Linked DNA regions of Struthio camelus. The protein of the gene in region 1 purifies or fractionates together with the protein of each later gene. This does not show direct contact. Links are inferred from orthologs where the notes say so. Each region holds a gene or a part of one and is shown on either strand. Other genes may lie near its edges. The genes, in order: NEUROG3 and C1QBP.

What was found.
Region 2: the proteins of NEUROG3 (region 1) and C1QBP purify together in Homo sapiens (affinity purification with mass spectrometry; 3 studies listed by BioGRID and IntAct, counting the BioPlex papers as one, with this or other methods). This does not show direct contact. The link is inferred for Struthio camelus from reciprocal best matches to the Homo sapiens genes NEUROG3 and C1QBP.

The regions. Positions count from the first base shown.
Region 1 is NC_090948.1:39,200,994-39,211,788, forward strand, and holds the start of NEUROG3 (neurogenin-3), read left to right. Parts: upstream 1-6,672; coding exon 6,673-7,175; intron 7,176-10,795. UniProt on the Homo sapiens protein: Acts as a transcriptional regulator. Together with NKX2-2, initiates transcriptional activation of NEUROD1. Involved in neurogenesis. Also required for the specification of a common precursor of the 4 pancreatic endocrine cell types.
Region 2 is NC_090957.1:13,518,557-13,529,444, reverse strand, and holds the start of C1QBP (complement component 1 Q subcomponent-binding protein, mitochondrial), read right to left. Parts: upstream 4,054-10,888; 5' UTR 4,033-4,053; coding exon 3,774-4,032; intron 3,393-3,773; coding exon 3,242-3,392; intron 2,742-3,241; coding exon 2,651-2,741; intron 1,608-2,650; coding exon 1,512-1,607; intron 641-1,511; coding exon 518-640; intron 1-517. Other genes in the region: ATP-dependent RNA helicase DHX33, read right to left, coding at 7,807-8,115, 9,516-9,602, 10,397-10,600.

The DNA.
Region 1 (10,795 bases):
TCCCCTGGCCGTGGACGCGGTGGCCGGGGAGAGGGCAGGCTGGGAGGGGTGAGGCTGGGAGGCAGGGAGGGCCGGGAAGCAGGTGGGGCTGAGACTAGAGACGGGGTGGAAGAGCCTGAGCAAGGACTGCAAGGAGAGGGGGTGAGGGGGGAGCGGGGCTGAGGGGAAGAAAGCAGGCAAGGGGACCCAGTCCGTCCTGAGAAAGAGGCCGTGACAAGCGAGGGGAGACCATCCCTCCTGAGAAAGGGGCCACGACAGGCAAGGAGACCCCATCTCTCCTGAGAAAGGGACTGCGGTGGGTGAGGGGGGACCGTCCCACCTAAGCAAGGGGCTGCAGCAGGTGAGAAGACACCATCGGTCTTCAGAAAGGGGCTGGGGCGGTCGAGGAGGGACCATCCCTCCTGAAAAGGGGCTGCAGCAGATGAGGGGAGACCGTCCCTCCTGTGAAAGGGGCTGCAGCAGGTGAGGAGACCCCATCCCTCCTGAGAAAGGGGCCGCAGCAGGTGAGGAGACCCCATCCCTCCTGAGAAAGGGGCCGCAGCAGGTGAGGAGACCCCATCCCTCCTGAGAAAGGGGCCGCAGCAGGTGAGAAGACCCCATCCCTCCTGAGAAAGAGGCTGCAGCAGGTGAGGAGACCCCATCCCTCCTGAGAAAGGGGCCGCAGCAGGTGAGGAGACCCCATCCCTCCTGAGAAAGAGGCCGCAGCAGGTGGAGAGGGACCATCCCTCCTGAGCAAGGGGCTGCAGCTGAGAATGAGGGAGCAGCAACTTGGCTCCGGGACGGCCGGGGAGGGGACGGGGCCCCCGCTTTGGGCACAGGGCTGGCGCATTACGGCAGCCAGCACCTCCTGGGCTAGCGCTCAGGCTGCGAACTGTGCTTCGCTCCCTGAGATGGTCTCGGGGCACCAGGGTGGTCACAGTGCTGAGGGCTGCCAGCTGCCTGGCATATCCGGAAAGGCGCTGGGAGGCGAGCGAGCTGGAGCTGCGGGTCTGCCTGGCAGTGGCTGTGACAGCACCTTCGTGGGGTCACATCCTTCCTGCCAGCAGGGATTTGGTTAAAGCAGTGACCCCAGCGCCGGCTGGATGCCGGCCACATCACGTGGCAGTGGAAGGGGAGCTGCGCTGGACCTGCTGGAGAAATCACTATTTTTTTCTGCTGGATGTGATGCTCTGATCATTTTTCATGATCATTTTTATGATTTCCCTGCTCCCAGTTCAACGCCTTCTGCATACACTGAGGGTGGTGCATGAGCGTGCCGCTCATTGGGCTTGTTTTTGCATCCCGGTACCTGATCTTTGCTTGGTTAGAGCACGGTCATGTTGCAGTGACTTGTGCTTGCAAAGGAGCGGCGAGACCTTCCCTTGCCTTGCAGCGGCGGCTCGGGGGCAGCTTGCGGGGGGCTGCTGCTGGGCTGGTCCCTCCAGGCCCGGCTGCCCTTGCTCCCGCGCCAGGACTGGAAACGAGTCCCGGAGGCTCCGGGCTTTTCGCAACTCTGTCGCTGCTCAAACGCCAGCTCTGGTGCCCTCTAGTATGGTTGACGTTTGACCAGTGGAGCCTCCAAATGGGAGAGGAAAGCCTGCCTCTGCCTGTTTTCAGAGGTCAGAAAGCGCTGTCTGTCTGCCTGACGGGCAGCGTGGGGACAGATGAGGAGCGTGACAGCGTGCCAGGGTGCCGTTCAGTGCCATAGCAACTTCACTAAAACGCAGAAAGTTGCATTTTTGCCCTTACAAGACAGAAATGTCGTTCAGGAAGACAACAATCCGAGAAACGCATGCGTACCCTTAGTTGGTGGCTAGTAACTGATGGCCAAAGGAGGATTTATGCAAATGAATGCTGAAGTCTCAAATGTGCTTTTTTGCAGCTGGCAGCTCAAGACAACCACTGCGGATTGGCTAAGTCCAAGCGCTCGAGACACCAACAGCTTCCTGCTGTTGAAACGTGGCTGCGCAGAAAGTAAAAGTTTCTGATTACAGCGGTTCTTTCAGATTTCTGTGCGGCCACATACAGCAGGACGTGCTGACTCGGGGCCCCGGGACCGTCTTGTGGCTTAAAGTGAGGACTTGTGCTCGAACGCCCGTTGGGATGCTGACCTAGTTTCGCTGAGCGGCAAGGGGTGTTGGATTGGCGGCTTTGCAAAGCTCTAGCCAGAAGCGTGCTTCAGAAGCATGGCGCCTGGGAAATCCGAATGAGGGAACGTGCTAGACATCTAACCCATCCCTTCCGCCCAGGCTCTGACCGGGGTAAAAGAAGAAACCCTCATTCTGGCAGGATCTTCTCACAAAATAAGGCCTGAGGCAAGGAACTGTTTGCCACAAAGCAGAGAGGGAGAGCAAGCTTTGTCAGCCTGGAAGGATGGGAGGTAACCAAGCCCCAGCGAGGTGAGGGCTACATTTTTTTACCTGGGTAGGTACTTGGAGGATTGGGTAAGTACTGTAATGTAACAGGTTTCACAGCACCCACCTGTAGGCACCGCAGGTTGGTATCTAACTCTCACCGTTTTGTACATGATACCTGTTTTCCTTCCAGAGATAACCTAGGCTTTTGGCATGCTTGGGTTTATTGTATTCTGACCTAAGGAACGTTTTGGCGTCCGGACAGCTGTCTGCTCTTGTGACCTTATGAAGCCATCTCCCATCAGACTACCTTTTAAGGACACGTAAGCATGGAGAAAGGTTTACCATAGAGGAGACCTTCTTGGGTTCTCTCCCCAGATATGATCAGGTCTACTTCTCTTCTGACGCAGCACAGTGTCCCCCACCCCGGAGCCCACAGGCAGTGCTCCGTTATTCCTGCCCTGGAGCAGACTGAAGCCCCAGCCTCTGTCAGTCCAAGACTGCAAGGGGAAAAGCCCCAGCTCCCGGCAGGACTAGAGGAAAACTGCTCAGGTGGGGCAAGGGCCAGGCCTTTGAGCCAGATCTCTGCAGAATGAAGGCTGCGTTGGCTGCCGCGTGCTCGGGGAGCGGATCGGCATTTGCAGCGGCTGGGCTGCGTGCCGCTGGGAGCTGTGCCAGGGATGCCGGTGGCAGGAGGGAGCAGTAACCCGGGGGAGATGTTACTCCTGGCGTAGCCTGGCTCTGCCTCGAGCCAGGCTGCCTTGGCCCCACGGGGCGCTTGGCTCCGTTACTGCAGGGACCGGTCCACGGGCTCACGGGCAGCAGCCAGACCCCGGGGGCAGCCACTGGCTGCACCTGGCAAAGAGTCGCTCACACCAGGATAAAACAGTGCAGGATTGGGTCCCGGGCGGGGGAACACAGCCTTTTCACCAGCGAGGCTAGGGCAGGCTGGGGAGGGCTGTTGCTAGCTCACCCCTGAGGATGTGTACCGGTCGCTCAGGGCTCTTTCCTCTGGCGCCAGACTCCGGACACAAAAGGCTGGAAGATTTACTGTGGCGAAACGGGGCTTGCTGGGGATTGCCGTCCCGTTTCCAAACACCCCTTGCCGCTCTGCCCATTCACGGCTCCCCGGACTGCTTGCTTAGCGCTCGCCGGGTAATTAATGATTTCCCGAGGAGGCTTCTCCAGGCCCCCGTGCGCGCCCTCGGGGCTCCTGCCGCCGGTGCCGCGGCGGGGCTCCGTGGCGCGGGGCTGCGCTCCGGGCCGGGCCGGGGCTCCCCGGGGGCGCTGCGCTCCGCGGAGCCGGGGCGGCTCGGCCGTGCGCCCCGTCGGGCCGCTCCGGGCGAGCGGGGGACGCGCTGCCGGCTCCGCTTGCTGGGGCGTCTCTTCCTTTCTCTTCCTCCCCCCCCCCACCCCGGCCTCCTTTTGCCCCTTCTCCTTTCCCACTTGCGGGAGGAGGAGGAGGAAGGGCGGGGGGAGGAAGGGAGAAATATTGTTTGAATCCGCCGTTCACAAAGGGGGGCATCTGGTGCACCTTGCGCCTGGCATCTGCGCTCCTTGTGTCCCGCGCAGCGCGCTGGCGGCCGGGGCGCTGGGGCAGCCGTGCATCTGTTGGACGGCACAATAAAGTCACAAAGCAGAGGCGCTGGCAGCGCGCTCCGCGGAGCTGCCCTCTCTCAAAGGGGGACGCCGGCACGCCGGCTCACAGGTATTATGCGCCGGGTAGGTAGGGCCGGGGAAGCAGCTGCTCCGGCGCTGAAGGGCTTCTGCGAGGAGCCGCTCAACATATGGCACCACAAATCACGGTAGCTCCTTAATAACCCCCCACGCCCCGGCGGGGGAGCGGAGCGGAGCGGCGCCCCGGAGCCGCGTCTGCCCGCCGTGCGCCCGGCGCGGCGCGGCGCGGACCCGCTCCCGCTCCCGGCCCCGGGCCCGGCGGGCTGCGAGCTGCCGGGGGAGCCCGCTGCCCCCCGCGCCCGGTGCCACCCGCGCGGCCCCGCCGCGCCCGAGCCGCGGCCGCGGTGGCCCGCGGTGCCCCACGGCCGGGCGGCGGCGGAGGGGGCTGCCAGCCCCCGGCCGTGCCGGAGAGGGGGCCGGGAGCCGCACCGGCCCTTATCTCGCCTGCCCGCTTCCGATCAAACAGCACCAGTTGGGCAGGCCAGGCTGCGGCCGAGCCCGGATTGCAAAACGTCTCCAACGCCTGGCAGGCGAAAGATGGGCCGGGGCTCCACTGGTTACCATATGTTTTCAATAAAATAAGACAAATAGGGCCTGGAGATAGGGATTGCAGTAAACCTGTTATAAAGTAGCATAAAATAGGCCAATGTAAACGGCAGAAGGGCCCCTCCTGGAAGGGCCATTTGGTGCCAGCCCTGCGCTGGAGCGGCTCAGACAGGTGTGAGTAGGAGCCTAATGTGGTGCCCCCGGAGATTTTTATCACGTTTGTGGTAATATTGTGCTTGTTATGCTAACTATGAGTAAACATACCCGGCCGGGCATTGTGGCAATAGGAGGGAGTTATCAGAAAGTGGCAGTGGGAAGGTGATTTAACAATAAAGTTGTCTTGTTTGCCAGCAGGTGATGTCTGCCCCCAGCCCCATGATTAATGCTTCCCAAAGCACTCCACTTTACAATCTCTTGTAATTATTTATTAAACGAAATCTATTTATTATTATTTTAGCAAACAGTGGTACCAGGTGGGGCTTTCTTTTCCTCTTCAGCTTTTGTTTGAAGGACGTTTGAAGTGGGCAGTCTAAGGGTTGGAAACTCGCTCACCAGATTTTTTTTGTCGTCCAATTTGCACAGGCACAAAAAAAACCTGCCGGGCCCTTCCTATTCATCCTCCCCTGCCCTCCTCGCCGCCCCCCTTGGAAGGGGCGCCCGAACCGCCAGCGGGGCCTTCCCCGCCTCGGCCCCGCTCCCCCGCCCGGCAAGACGTGCGCCGAGGCCGCGGAGCCGCCGCCGCGCTGCTTTGGCGAAGGAGCGGGGGGCTCCCGGGTGGCGGCGGCCCGGCTCGGCCCGCGCCCCGGCCCGGCCCCGGCGGAGGCTCCGCGCCTTGCGGGGGGCCCGGCCCCGCCGCTCGCCGGCCCCCGCCGCCCGCCCTCGGGCAAAGGCGGCCCGGCGCGCACGTCGCTCCCCACCGCCCGCCGGCGCCGGTGCGCAAAAATCCCCCGGCACGTTTTGCGCGCCGAGCCGCGGCGAGGGGCCGGCCCGCCCGGGGCTGAGCGCCGGCCTGGGGCGGCGCGGCCCGCGGGGGCGGCCGGGGGGCCCGGTCCCGGTGGGCTCCGGCCCCCGCTGCCCCCAGGGCGGAGCGGGCAAGGCGCGGCGGCGCCGGAGCGCGGCGGCGGCCGGCGAGCTGCGCCCCGCGGCCCGGCGCGCTGGGGCCGGGGCGCTGCTCCCCGCCGGCTGCGCGGAGCGCGGAGGCGGCCCCGGGCCCCCTTCCCTCGGGGGGCGGCGCGGGGCAGGGCGGGGGGTGCCGGGAGCGCCCCGCGGGGCGGCACTGCCTCTGGGCCAGGCGAGAGGGGCCCCGGGGCCAAAGCGGGGCCGGGCGCTCCCTCGGGGGCCGGCATCGGGGCGGGAGCCCGCCCGGCCGCCGGCGCGTCCTCGGCACCTCCGCGGGCGCGCAGCCCGGCCCGCCGCGCCCCCGGGGCTCCGCGGAGCCGGCCCGCTGCCCGCCGCCGCCGCCGCCCCCCCGACGGCCGCCGCGGTACCCCGGTGCGCCCCGGCCGCGGGCGGCGGCTCCGGCGAGGGGTCCCGGCCCCGGCGGGCAGCGCTGCGCAGCGCACCGCGGGGCTCAGCCCCCCCCGGGCCGCGGCGGCCGTCGGGCGAGGGAGGGCCGTCCCCGCCGCGCGGCGCCGTGGGAGCCGGCGGGGGCTCGCGTGGCCCGGCCGGGGCGGCGGGCGGTGCCGGGCCCGGCACGCTCCCGCCGGGGCTGATAAGATAAAAGCGTGCCAAGGGGTGGGTGCGGGCGGGGGGGCGCACACGCTGCCCGCACCGGGAAATCCCCATTGTCTCCCGGCCCTATATATAGGGGCTTAAAGGCAGTCGTGTGCCGGCCGCGCAACCTGCGCTTCCCCGCGCTCGAGGGAAAGCGGGGAAGGGGGGAGAGGCGGGGACGGGGCGGGGGGCACGGAGCAGGACGAGCCGCTCTCCCGCTCCGCCGGCTGGCCTGGAGCCTCGCCCCGGGATTTCCCCCCAGGGGACGCAGGTAAAAGCTGGTGCCGCAGCGCGGCGTGGGGCGAGGGGGCGCCCGGCCGGCGGCGGCGGCTGTGCGCGCCCGCGGCGGCCCCAGCGCCGCTCCCCGCGGCGGCGGGCTAACGCGGGGGCTTGGCTTTGCAGGATGGCCCCGCAGAGCGACTGCTCGCCGGGCGAAGGGCAGCCCTATTTCGGCGGCTCGGACGCCGCCGCCTCCTCGGCCGCCGGCGGCTCGCCGGGCGCGGGCAGCCGGGCCGCCTCGCCGGTCCGCGGCGCGCTGGCCCCGCGGGAGGCGGCCCGCCGGAAGGGCAAGGCGCGGCGGGGCCGCGGCAAGGCCCGGAGCGAGGGGATGCTCAGCAAGCAGAAGAAGAGCCGGCGCATGAAGGCCAACGACCGGGAGAGGAACCGCATGCACCACCTCAACTCCGCCCTGGACGCGCTCCGCAGCGTCCTGCCCACCTTCCCCGACGACGCCAAGCTCACCAAGATCGAGACGCTCCGCTTCGCCCACAACTACATCTGGGCGCTCACGCAGAGCCTCCGCCTGGCCGAGCAGAGCCTGCCCGAGCCCCCCCCGCCGCCGCCCACCGCCTCCGCCGCCCCCCCGGGGCCCTGGGGGTCGCCCCGCGCCGCCGCCCCGCCGCCGCCGCTTTCCCCGCTCTGCTCTGAGCCCGCCGCCGGCCTTTCCGCTTTTGCCTCGCTTTTGCCCTTAAAATAGCCGGGGAGGACGCGCGCCGCTCGCCCCCCTCCCCGGCCCCGCTCGCACTTTGCGCGGCCAGCTGGGGTGGGACGGGGGGCGATGCGCCCCGCTGCCCCGTCCCGCTTGGCTGAACCGCAGCGGGAGCTGACAGGCAAAAACAAATCACGGTTTTGTACTCGGAAACGGTAAATTATATTAATTTGTCGCTATCGGTATTTATTAACTAATATTTCGTAAAAAATATATATATCTATATATTTGTATATAAGAGTATTTTTGGCAGCGGTGGTCCGGTTTTTGTACCGGGGAGGGGGAGCCACGGATGTTGTGTTGTGGTTTTTTTTTTTGTTTTTGTTTTTTTTGTTTTGACACGGAGAATAAAGTGTGTCGCCGTCCGACCTGTGCAACGCGATGTTTTTCCCAGCGAGGGGCTTGCCTTCGGCTTCAAAATCGCGCGCAGCCGCCGCCTGCCCGCGCAGGGGGACGGACGGACGGACGGACGGACGGACGGCGGTGGCCGCGGGCGCTCGGGGCCGGGCACGGGGGGTAACGCGGTGCCGCGGGCGGCCTTTAAAGCGGCCGCGCTTCCCCCTCCGCGTCCCCCCCCCCCCGGGCTGCGCGCAGACCCGCGCAGGGCGTTGCGCGCTCCCGCCTGCTGCTCAGCGGCCTCCCGGCGTTATTTCGGGGCTGTCCCCGAGGGGCAGCGCTGCGGCTGGGAGGACGTTAGACGGGTTAAAAACGCGGGAGGTGGCGGGGACGGGGGGGAAGCACCTCCCACGCGCTGCCGCCGGCGCTCCGCGCCGCTCCGCGGCCGCGCTGCCTCCCCGCCGCCGCCGCGGGAGCACGGCCGGCGCCAGACAAAGCGGCCCGCGAAGGCCGAAAGCCCATTGTGATGCTAATTGTTCTCAGCGGAGCCCATTTGCCAGCAGCGAAGAGACGCTATTGAGGCAATTTGTAGAACAAAAGAAATTTGGGTACTGGAAACAAAGGCGCACGGTGCCCCCCCCCCCCCCGGCTCCGCCGCGGGCCCTGGCCATGGTGCTGAAGGCGGCCGGGCCGGGCCGGGGGGGACCACCCCCTCCACCCCCCCAGGCACCTGCGTTTCGGGAAGCGATATCCACCTTGCTTGCGAGGCGTGGGACAAGGCGGAGGACTAGGGAAAGCCTGTGCCTGTGTGTGTGTGTGTGTGTGTACTGCTATATCCCTGACCGTGATCTATCTGCACCATAGATCAGATAGGCAGAATGAAAGACCTAATGGTATTCCTCCCCCTTCTCCCCCCTCCCCGCCTCCTCCGGCTGAATTGCTTATTGTTTTCATACCTTAACACTCTGCAAAAGTGCTCCGAGGCCTCGTGTGTGGCCACAGCCAAAACACCGTGATTATCGGGGGGATACAATCATTTAGCCTCTTCCCCTTCTCATCCAGCTCCTCGCCGATATCTCCCTATGGGACAACATCACCTTATGCTGTTTGCATGTGCCACGGGAGTGGGGAGGATAACTGCACAGTCAGGTATCCTTCAAAAGGAGCGTTTTTTGCAAAAATTGCAAAAATGCAGCTGAGGGTATGTACGGACAAGAGAAGGGGTGAGAACCTGAGAGGCCAGTGGACTGCAGGTATTATAGAAGTCCTGAGAGGTGACTGTGCAGCTGCATTTTCAGAAAGTGGTCACTCCGGTGGGTTTTACTGCATGGCAGATTCTTCTCTCCGGAGATTTAGGATGCCTCCGGTCTTCCAGCCGTGGGTCTGTATGTTGGGGTGGGGGTAGCGGGGGGAATTTACTACCTCTGGAGAACTAGTGACTTCTTTAGGGGCTTGAATGCATTTTTTTTTTCTTTGCCTCCACATTATTAGGTTAATCATTGCTTGAACTGGTTGCTATGGTTTTGGCAAACCCATGGAAACTTGATAATGAAGACTGAAAGACTCCTTTTCCATTTATCTTTTCTCTATGTTTAGTGCATGATGGTCTCATTTCTCTTCACTGGGCTGTCCCGGCGCCAGCGCCCTGCCTTTATAACCATGGCTTCTGTAATGGCCTCCGGACTTTCTGATGTGGAACAAACAGGTGGCCGCTGGGATCGCAACCATCTCAGAGACACAAACTTGCACCCTCACATACTTGCAAGCGTCAGTCTGAAAACAAACTTTGCCCATGCGTTGCTGGATGCGGTCACTGCGATCCCATGCAAAGCAGGCTCGCCTTTTATTTTTGCAGCCGGGGGAAACCCTCCGACCACCAGCTGACATTTTCATGCCCTACATGCTCACTTTCAGGTGACGCCTTTCTGTTTAGTTACTCACACTGTGAAAGGTTCAACTGGGAAACAAAGGTGGCTGCGTCTGGATGTTGGGATCATTTGTGTTCATCAGAATATGTGTTTTTTGAATATGTAGTGTTGTATTCCATTATACAAATGAGGAGGCTTTCAACCTGTCCCCCAAACCTCCTCTCTCCTCTTCTAGCAGCGTACAGCAGGTAGGTAGCTGCGTTTTGCTGTTGAACTTCAGTCGTGTCTGAAGGCTGGAGAGAAAATTGAGGTGGTTCCCATCGTTCCAGGGCAATTCCTTTGACCCCAGGCCTCCGCTCCGGGCTATAAATATGGCCCGAGGGGAGTCGCCGCCTGCCCTTGGCCATTGTTTGCCCCGATACCTAGGTCTCCTGGCAGAGGAGGCAGCCAGCGCTGTCAACGCCCTCCTACCCCTCTGTGCCAGCGGGAATCGGCGCGCACCCCTGCCAACAACCCGCTCGTCCCGTCTCCTAGCGCGCCGCTTGCGCCTCTGCACCGGGGCGCCCTGCGCTGCCTCGCGGGGTCTCCTTGGCCGGTGCGCACCCGTCGTCTCGCCCCGGCTGCGCGTTTCGGCGTAGCTGCTGCGCTCCCCGGCCAAGAAAAGGCGAAGAATCGGGATTCTTTCACATGGCCAGCGCTCAAAAGTCTGCTCCCCCCCCCCCCCCCCCAGCTATAATGACAATCCAAAGAGTTCCTGATAGGGTTTTAAAAGATGCTTATTCATTCACTGTCCACCAAGCATGAAAATCCAGCTCATTTGTTCATTTGTTTCCATTCTCGGTGCAAACGACCCCACAGGGGCTGAAGCCTGTTGCCGAAAACTTGTCACTCACACTTTTAACTTCTTTTTGTTGTACTTCTCTTTATTTCATTCTTCTGGGTCCCCACCTCGGCCACCACCCCACCCTCTCCTCCCGGCACAAAGGCAAGTCTGGGAATCTCTTTAAAGCTGCAGTGCCCCCCTTTTAAAACCAATACAAAAAGCAATCGCTGAAAGGAGATCACAAGTTTGTGGAAGAGGGAAACTTCATCCTGCCTGGTCCGGGGGCTGCACACGCTAGGCCTGGGGCGGGGGGAGCAGCACAGCCCGGCCCCAGCTCTACCACGGCAGGGAGCTGCGAGGTTTCCGTTCGTTTTCTGGGGGGCTTCAGCTGTCAGTTTTGCCCGGAGCTGGCGCTGACGTAGCCGGCCGCGTCTCCGCGTTCGCTCGGAGCTGCGGCAGGCTGAGACGCGGCCTCCTCGCTCGGGTGAAAGCCCAATTACTTGAGACCGTA
Region 2 (10,888 bases), on another chromosome or scaffold:
TTTAACCTTTTGAAAGCCTGGCATTGAGAACTTTTAAGTACATGCCAGATTCTTGAACAGATTCCAGGTTTGTTTGTTTCTTTTAATTTTATGTCCCCACTAGGAAAACATACCTGGGAAACTTAAAACAAAAATTAAACTACTGTTACGTTGAACATAGATTAAATGATACTTGTGCAAGCATCGTTAAAGCATCTCTAAAACGCAGTGCAGCTAGGAAAAAGCATCATAAACTTCTGAAGCCTGAGACAGAAGTGGTTTCAACATGGAGGCCTCTCACTGCCACTAATGCCACCAGCACTGCATGACTACTGGGACCACATAACAGCCCTCAGTCTGCAGTGGATCTGCAGCACAGAAAAGCATTGCCGCACAGCAAGCCCGGGCAGAGCAGGGGAATCCCCGGTCTCAGGCACCCAGAACAGGATTCATCCAGAATTCAGAAGCAGGGAGTGAGTCCAGGGAAGCTCAAGTGTCCTCTGCAGTCTAAGGCCTTGTTAGTTTTAGCAGCACTTACCCAGTCAAGGGAATCTGTATTGAGGGTGTAGTTGGTTTCCTTCCAATCTGATTCTCCAGCGGGCTGGAAGCTGACCTCTCGAATTGTGAAAATATCACTTTCGTCCTCTCCCTCCTGTCCGACCTGAAACAGGAAATGGAGGCAAGACAAAGATTAGCCCAAACTACAGGGCTCCTTTAGCCACTGCTTCAGCCTGAAGCAAGGAATATTACAGTGCAGGCAAAACCCCACAACCAGTATTAAAGCCATTCCTCTCTTTCAACACATGCCTGTGAAGACAAGCACGCACATGCACGAGAACACAGGAAATCCCAAAAGAGGTCAGTCTACCAGTTCTTGCAACCTGATGTAAGTCAATGACAAAGATGTAAAAATCTCTTCTGCAAGGTTCTAAAACATTCTGTCCTCAGAAGTCTGTCTAACCTTTGACATCAGAGTGTCTGCATAAACGATGTTAAGATGTGCAAAATAAACCACAAAAATCACCCTGAAGCAAAGCTCTCAGTTTAATTCCCCTCCCTTTTTTCTTTTCTTTTTTTTTTTTTTTTTGGCTAATCCCTACTACTCTTCCACCTTTGTGACACCTCAGCACCCATGAGATTTGCAAGTTACTTATACATTGTATTAAATGTATCCTTTAGGCCATTCTTGTTTACCTATCTCAATTTGCCATGCAGTTAAAGAATCCATACCTCCTTTCTCCAATTCAATAAGCTAGCCTATATGTAGCTGATTAGAAAAGCAAGGTCAGGATATAAGGAATGTAATGGAACATCTCCCCAGAGCTTATTCTTGCAGGCTCTTAAAGCCTTTTTTTGTGTTAAACAAGAGAAGCAAGAGAAGACTGCATTTTCTGCAGATTAAGAAAACCAGCAGACTGTTAGAGCAGTTAGATTCAACAGTGGCACAATTACACTGTGGTCAAGCAGGAGATGTGCAGTGAGCCACAGGCCAGAGTTAGCCGTAGCTGACACCTGAGCAGTTCAATACTCACCTCATCTTCAGGATAATGGCAGTCAAGAACAAGGGTCTGTTTTGTATCATCTTTTATTACTTCTACAACAAAGTTTGGAGTTGATGTAATATCAGGCTACGTAAAAGGTAAGAAAGAAATTCACATCAGCATTGGAGTCTGAACGGGAGCTAAAGCAGCCAAGGTACAGCCCAGCAACACAGCCCATCCAGCACCCAGGTTGTTCCCAGTCACCCTCTTTCTTGAGGGCCTCTGGAGTTGTCCTCGCCAAGGCAGCCTCCTCCAACCTCACCCACGGCCCTTCAGCCCCTTCTCTATTCTGCATCTGGTCACGTTGGTAGAACGATCACTAACAACCCAGAGAGCCTGCAACTCACCCAGATTCCTCCCCCTGTAAATTGTTTTGAGAGCAGGAGTTGCTCTCGCCAGCGCTCCTTCACGTGGGACATTTGGCAGTGCACAAAGACTTCCTATGCACACGCACGGACCAAGCGCACTGTGTGTTCTCAGTAGATAAGGGCATGCCCAGGGATGGGGAGCAACGTACAGTCTCCCCAGCCCGCCCAGCTGAGTGTACTAAGCAGTAATGCACTGGAATAAGCACTAACGTTCAAAAAACGCAGAGTAACTGCTATAAACCACAGACATGCAGTACAGTTTCATTCCCTACTTGTTCAACCAATGTCACTGTAGATTAGGCATCTGCCTCAAATCACATTGCTCGCTTAGTTTTACCAGTACTTTTACTCACAGTCTTATGAAAAAGGAGCATGCGACACTCTTCTAATCAACAAAACCATGCAAACAACGTCATGTGAGTAGTTTTGCATTTTGTTGGCATGGCATACCAGTACCATTAGTTACACTAGCTAAGCAAAGTACAAAAGGCAGTATTTATTGTAGCAGGTTACAGAGGCAGCCATAAAGTCAAATATCTCCGTTCCTTTCATCTCTCCTCATACAGAACCCTCTCACCCTCTCTGTCTTCCTGCTACAGAGAGAAGAGGGTCACAGCCAAAGAACAGGAAATTGAGAAAAATCTGCGTTATGTTATCTTTATGCTCCCAAATATCAAATGAGAGAAAAAGCATTAAGGGCAAACAGCTAACTTTCCTGTGTGCTGACATCCATAATAAAGTGTACATAAAGACTATGTTTACCTCCTGCTCATCAGGTTTCTGCTCTTCTTGTGTTTCTTCTTCTTCAAGAGATGGCGGAATGCTGTTATTGATGTTGAACGTAACCGTTATCCTTCAAAAGAACCATAAGCAATTATTTTAAACACAATAAAGAAAATACTTACTGTATCTCTCGTATTTGAAACTTTTGTAGCAGGGACAGCACTACAGCCATTGAATTCACACCTCATGAACGAGATTCAAAGCATATTACATGTTCTGTTCTATTTGTCCTTCCCTCATGTGGTATGTATTGCAGCTTAGAGTTTAAGATGCACGCTCTAATAAAACAGGTGGGCGTTCTTCAAGTTTTATTAGACTGATTTCATGTTTTTAATGGAGGGAGATCTCACAAATCTTTGCAACACACAAAACAAAGCCAACTGGTAAGAAAAACACCTTGGGCCCAGGATGGTAAAATAACGAGCCTATGCAACACCCAGAGTTTGCGCAGCCTGGATAGACAGTGGCACAAGCAACACGAACACACAGAAGAATTGTGATTACTGCTGTCAAGCACACACGCTTGCCCAGATGAATCCTTAGAAACGCCAAGCACCCGTTTGCACTTACTTCTCCCCAGCTATTTTCCGGACCAGCTTGGCCTCTGTGCCATGGACTTCCAGCTCCCACCCTCCAGATATCTTGGGCAGGGATTTATGTTTCTGGATCTTCTTCTCCTCTTTTATTTCATCCGTCAGAAAGGCTGCAAACGCTTTGTCTCCTTAGGAGGCAGCAATAAGGCGAGTGAATAAGAAAGGAAAAAAGCAAGAAACCCCTCGAGAGCGGGCAGGGGCTGCAGATCGCCCCTTCCCCCGCGGCCACCGCGGGAGACGGTGGCGGGGGGGGGGGGGGCAGCACGGCCCGGCGGGGGCCGAGGCCGCTCGTGTCGCACCCCCCCCGCCCGCCACGTGCGGGCCGGGACACGCGCGACCACGTGGGGGGGGGGGAGGGCGCACGTGGCCGCTCGCGCCCCCGCCCCCCTCACGGGGGCCCTGCCCCCCCCCCCAGGGGGCCGTCGCCCTCCCAGAGCGGCTCCCCCCGCCCCCCTCGCCCCTCCTGCCGGGGGGGGTCGCTCCCTCCCCTCGCCGCCGCCCCGGCTCACCCTCGGTGTGGAGGCCGCCGCAGCCGCAGGAGACGCCGCCGGCCGAGCCCCGCCGCGGGCGCAGCAGCGCCCTCCGCCACCCGCCGCCGCCCAGCTGCCACAGGGAGCGCGCCAGCGGGGCGGCGGCGGGCGGCGGCAGGAGGGCGCGGGGGCAGGAGGGGGCGGCGAGGAGGAGAAGGGGGCGGCGGGGCTGGTGGCGGGGCGGCGGCGGGCGCAGGGCGGCGGCGGCGGCGGGGCGCAGGGCGCGGGCGAGCAGCATGGCGAGGCCGGCAGCGGAGGACACCGCCTGGCCCGGAAGTGCCGCGAGTGCTTCCGGCGCAGCGCGCTCCGCCCCCTTCCCGTCCTGCCTCGCGGCAGCGCAGCGGCGAGCGCGCCCCGCCCCGAGCCCGGCGCCGCGGGTTCGAGTCCCGCCCCCGGCAGCTGCGGAGTCCCGCCCGGAAACGCGCTGCTTATGCAAACAGAAGGCGGTAGAGCAGGGCTCGGTCCAGCTTTGCGTTTACCTCCGCTTTACAGACAAGGAAGTGGAAAACCTGAAGTGACTTGCTTACAGCGGTTGCAGAGGGACGCCTGTCAAGGGGGCAGCTCACTACTCTGATGGGCTACAAAGAGCAACAATACACAAGAGCAGCACACGCACCACGTCTACGTCAATATTACATGTATATACATCAATATTTACCACCTCTCCACCCCATGCACTCGGCGGGTGAGGCTCTGGCGCTGCTGAAAGGGTCACAGAAAAGCTCCAGGCGCGTGGAAACGACGCTGAAGCTTCAACACTGACCGCGACAAGAAAAAAGCATCGTTGAGCGCTGAAAGCTTTATCCCTGCATATCCTCCCGGCTCTTTCTTAGAAGAATAGCCAGCTTTCTGGCAAGGCCTCAGAAAGGGGAAACAAATGATTTTTTTTGGCCTTTAGCAATAAATATTTTAGAAGGGGGCGCGACCAAGGCAAACTGCCTCCTGGCTTAAAGCCCGGGCTTTGTCTCCAAGTTGGCACTCTTGTCCCCTATTGACCACAGAATCACAGACTGGTTGAGGTTGGAAGGGGCCTCTGGAGATCATCTAGTCCAACCGCCCTGCTCAGGCAGGGTCCTCTAGAGCGTATTGCCCAGGATCACATCCAGACGGGTTTTGAATATCTCCAGCGAAGGAGACTCCACCACCTCTCTGGGCAACCTGTTCCAATGCTCTGACCAGACCCACAAAAGGCCAATTAGTGCTTGCAGCAAGGCTCTGGCTGGAGAGGTCCGGTATCATGGCTTCAAAGGACCAGGATTTTTGCTCCCCGCTCGTGTTTGAGTCCTGCCTCCGCAATAACTGGGCCCCTCCTGTACGCAAAGCCCAGACTCACCAACCCCTGCTAAGGTTTTATCTTTAAAATCCAAAGTGCTTCAGTGACACCGAAACCCCGGACGGCGTCAAGACAGGACACTCGCCCCCGGACTTCAAGCACTACTATGAGGACTTGTACCGAAACGTCCTGCCATCATTTCTGTTAGCTATGCAGCTTTCCCGCCTCACAAAACGACACCCGGCACTTGGATTTTAGCCATCGCTCTTTATTGTGGGAAAAATATACAAATCAGTTACTTCTAAATCAGTTCCCCATCCCCTCCCTTAAACAGTCTGCTTAATTAGACTGCCCAAACCAAATGTGCTTTTACTCCATTTTCCCCTACAGATGCAGTCTGTATAAACAAGGAAGAGTTACGTACAGTGCTTTGATAATTCCCTGCAGTTTGTGCGAGTGAGAACAATTGAAATAACAGCACACTCTTGAAACACGAATCAAAACCGATAGCTGCTCTTACATACAAAAGTGGCAACGGCTGCCTGTGCCCCGCACACTGGTGTGTTTCTGACCACCAAGGAACAACACCGCAAGAGGCACAACACGGACGCGAGCCCACTTCCACGGGACCCCCGCAAACTTTCAGTATCACCCTTTCCGGGAACAGGCTGAGAGACAAGACCGTTCTTGGTACACTGGATCCCTATCTACTCTCTTTGGAGACAGCAATTTGCAGACCAGCAAAAGTGAAATTCCATTTTTTTTTTATTTTTAAGAGGTATTTGACCCAGTTTTCAAAGAGAGAACCAAGGTAAGTCGAAATCAGGAGCCCAAAGAGAAGGCATATTACAATGTGCTGGGTAACTGTGATGTGTGCAACCAGAAAGGACATTTTGCTAACTGGAAAGTGCAGCTTGTTCCCACAGATCCCACGAGCAAAGCCAGCAGTTTATTTACTCCCCAAGCAAATGGAGTGAGTAAGGGCTTGCCAATATGACTGCATCCCTGAGCAGTCCCACTAAAATGCCATGAGCTTTTATTTTTGTTTTAAGTTGATGCTTGAAGAACGCAAGAACTGAACACCACTTAAGTCAAAGGGTGAAAATCCCGTCACAGCCCATGTTAGCTAACCTCACTGTATTATATAATGACACCGTATTTACAGAACGGCTTTCTCTCCCACTCTATAACAAATCTGCTTTAGTGCAACTCATCCAAAAATCTGTATAAACTAATACACTGTGTCAACAGACTCTGTTGAAACTGGAAGTCACCTCTCCCAGAGAGGTTATTTTAGAACTACTTAGGGCATCATTTAAAAACAACTTAAATTTTTTCTCCACCCACACACAGTCATAATGTAACCAACCCATTTTCCTTCACACTACAGAACAAGTTTTACCTTTGGAGTGGTCTTAGTTCCTTAATTACAGTATTTAAAAAGAGGGTTAAGTTTCTTATTGCCACTTCTCTCCAATAAGAAGAAAAAAAGATAGTTAGATGCCAAAGGGATATGGAAAAATAAAAATAAATACTAATGGCAGATCTATGGTTCTTGACAAACAACGCCAAGCTCCAAACTTCTAATGGAGAGTCAAAGTATAATTGGGGCCTGGGGGGGCGGAAGGGGGAAAGAAGCACCGGTGTCAGAGCAGAAGAAAGGTTTGATGATTCCAGTGCCTTTAAAGGAAGTCTAAGAGTCTAAACTACATCTTCGTACTTGGTTTGCTGAGTTCGCCTCAAACTAGCTTGACTAGCTATTGTGGACGGTGTGCCAACTCCAAAGCCAGAAGTGTCCAGATACAGAGCGGGGAAGGACGTAAGAGTTTGCTGCTAAAACGCTGGATCCTTCCCAGGAGTGAGTCCCTCCTCCTGTTTTAAGAAGTTTGGCTCTTCAGAGGAAGAAAATCGCTCTAGACAGAGCAGATTGCATCTTTCCACGTGGAACCGTGGGGCCAAATATTGAGAATCTACAGCTGCCTCCTCCACGTGCATCAGACACAGAGGAATTGCATGCCCTAACAGCAAAAGGGAGAACAAAAGCAACATCAAATGCACAGGTGGCTGGACAGCCCCTCCGAGAAAATACTACCAGCCCCTGGGACACAGACACAGGCAATGAAGACCTGTCCAAGCAGGTGACGCCATTACTAGCTTTCAGCTGGTCCCAAATGACGTGGTGAATATGACATGCAGGCAGGAAGATGTTTAATGAGGTAAAAGACAGTAGCACCTCCCTTCTAGAAATAGTTTAAAAAAGGCATTTTTTCCCTGTATGTAGAGATTTAAAACTTTTTTCTCCTTTTTTTGCCAATAAAACCTGCTAAGGATACAAGCACAATCATCAAAAAATACCAAGTCTGCTCAGAAGAGCTCTTAGGATTTCATTTCTTCGTATACAAGCTCGTTAAAGTTTAGTAAGTGTTAAAAACTGGAATCTGATACCAGCTCCCTTTCCCCCCCCCCAACACAGATTTATCACTCTCACACACACACACGCGTGCACACAGAGTACTTGTTATGTTTCCCTTTTACAGATTAACTGCTATAAAGGATGATTGTTCTAAGCCATGGAGACTTGTGAGGTCTGGCTCTCACAGAGAAGCCATTTTTCCTCTAAGGTTTTTACCCGATTTACAAGGCAAAGCTCTACCATTCCCATACATTCATTACAAAACAAAAAATAGCCTCATTAGGTGAGCCTAAAAATCCTGGTCCTGTTAGCCCCAGGCCTGCAGGTCAGTTCTTGGCTGTTCTGAGCTTCCTGCGGAAATAGTCAGGGGCTGCATCATACAGCCAGTCCGCATCCACCACACAGAGATCCCGCATGTAGCACTTGTTGGTGTGAAGCAGCCCGTTGTAAACCACGCAGGCCGGCTTGCAGTGGAACAGCACAGAAGAGGGGTGGATGGCCACCAACTGGTAAGAGTCCACGGTGGTGTAAGTGCCGTCCGGCTGCAGCTCCGCAGCGTTCATGAAGAGGCTGTGAGCTAGGCAGCGGCGGATGTTTCCAGTGTCTGAGCGGGAAGACTCCATTGGCATCGATAGCTGGTTAGCAGTGAGAGAGACAAGGTGGTAGGTAGCACCTTTAGAGAGCATCCTGCAGCCCAGGCTCAGACACCCCTAACATCACATCTAAAGAAGTTAAACAGCAAGCTGGAGGCTCCCGCATAGCCCAGAAGAGCACATCACTTTCTGGCACTCATTCTGACAGCTGGGACCCCAAAAGAGAGGGGATCTTGGCCCTGCAGAGTGAGCTCAGGTACTGTTCTAACTTCACTTGCAGGCTCTCAGAGAAACGCTTCTGCCAGGAGAGAAGGCCACATGAAGAGGACAGCCTGCGGCTTCTGCTCCAGCTGGGCTTTCATGCATGCTTTGCAGGGAAACATCAGCCTTAGCAACACCTCAGTACTCCTAATTCTCCAGAGCTACTGTGCCCATGCTACCCAGCTCTGAAATCCTGCCCTCCTTGGATCTTTGGCAGCCATAACCAGGGCAGGAGAGATGGAAGCCATAGCATCAAGCGGGCTGCACGGCACTTTGCAGTCACACACCCTAAAGTGCACAAGGTACTGCTCACTATCAAATGGCATTAGCTTTTACTTCTCACACAGATCTGTGTTTGTCCAGAGGGACTCCATTTGGGAGTTATTTTCACAATGTGTTCTTCTCGTGCCAAAGAGTAAGCAAGCGTGTATGTGCACCCTCAGGGGGAAACGCAACTCCATTTCAATGGGCTTCTGAGGCCAGGCAACACCATGCCAGCAATTCAGCTAGCCTATGAACTACAAAACCTCTGGGACCTCTGGGAATTCAGCGCAGACAGGGCTTTGTATTGAGGCATTAGGCTAGTCCAGACTAACAGCAGAAAGGAGAAGAGTCACAAAACGGATCCAGACTCCCCTTCTGCAAGTCAGCGTCAGGCCAGCTAGCATTCACAATAGGACAGGGGTGCGCGGCTGCGCGGCTCCCACGTCACGTACGGACTGCAAGTAATCCAGCCCTGGCTCCTGTGCTATCGCTCAAGCTGGGCAACTGGCAGGAGCAGTGCTGATGTGAAAGCTGCTCCTAAGCTGAATGCCCGATTATGGGAAGAAGCCAGCCAGCATGGGCTGTGGAGGCTGCCATCACCCAGTGGCACACAGCACAGTCCCACCTGCACTATAGCAGCGGGATCCCTTAGGAAAAACTGTCCTCTGCCTGAGAAGCCTTCCCAGAGCCCCACTTCTCTCTACACCTCTCCTAGACGCATTGAGGCCTGCAGCTCTAAGATTCTGGAATGCAATCTGCACAGTCAGGAATTTTCCCCAGCTGTTCATTAGGAACTGAAAACACAACCAGGTTTGCTGCTCCTGGGACTTGGTGCACAAGGAAATCATTTGGGGGACAAACAGAAAAGAAAAATGCAAATAGACAAAACTAAGAAATAGAGTATGGCAACAAGTTACCTTTACGCAAATGTCCCTGAGCTGAGCTCTGACGTCCGACACGAGCATCATGTTCCTGCTGTTGACAAAGTTCTCTTTGCACCATTCCTGCAGCAGAGGCACCAAGAGTGAGAAGGGGCTGCTGCTTCACCCAAGAAGCATGAAAAACCTTTGGATACCATGAAGAGCAGAAATCTCCAAAACACACCATCTCCTAGAGAACAGGTGCTAACCCTTTTCCTTGTCAGATTTCTACCTGTGATTGCTGCCCTCTGTCTACATTCCTTCCCACAGCGTGAAGGAATTGCAATGTGTTGTTCTCTTCCTGCTCTCAGTTGCTCTCAAGGTCAGCAAATGCTGTGAAACAACACTCGATATCCCACAGCTGGTGAAAACAAACTACACAAGAGTAAGAATGGATAAGAAAGATGCTGCAGGGAATGGAGTGCACTACTCTCCCAACCTAAAAATCAGACTGAGTTTATAGGGTAGAATAAATCCAAATCTATTGGTAAATATGCTTAGTGTCTTTGCAATGCATCCTGACATACCAAAGAGCACATCTAGGTGTTACTCAGCAAGTCACAACGTTCTACCATCCCCTCCTGTTTCCAGCTAGAACTAGGCAAGAGAGAGACCTGACTTTGCAATTACAAAATTGTCCTCAGGGAAATCTGACAATCAGTTCCACTACGGCCTTCTGGGGGGACCTTTTGCAACTACACAGCACTCTCTGACTACCCCACTGTAAAGCACAAATAAGCCCTCCCTTCTCATAGGTGCTTTGGAAGGATGCCTATTATATCAACTGTGAAGGCTGCAGATGTTACTCTGCTGTGTGTCAAGAGAACTCCTCACCACCATGTCCACAGGCAGCCAAGGGCAGCCTGAGAGAATCCTACCTTGTTGCCACTGACATTTTTGAAGGCCCTGTACACGTTGAGCAAGGTAAGATGATCCCCTTCACTGGAGATGAATTTCTTCCTGATGGATTGCACTTCATCCCGCCGGGCTGGCGGACTGTAGAGGACGCTGTCCACTGATAACAGCGATACGATGGTCAGAATCTCTTCTGTACAGTGGAACTTAGGGGACAGGAGGATGGTCTGCAAATCACAGAACAAACTGACTTTTGGTTGACCACATCCTCTCAAGGTAGGCAGGCTTTTCTGCTTACTTACAGCCCAAGAACTTTACCAAGCATCATTCAGGACAACTCCATAAACACTTTGGCCTAGAGACAACTGTAAATGCTCTTACAGGACCACCAAGCACCTTTAACAGCAGCTATCATGCAATTTCTTGAGATCGGCCAGTCCAGACGCAGCATAAACAAGGTGACTAAAATCCACAACAGTACCAGACAACCTGGTGAACCTGCCAATAAACAGTGC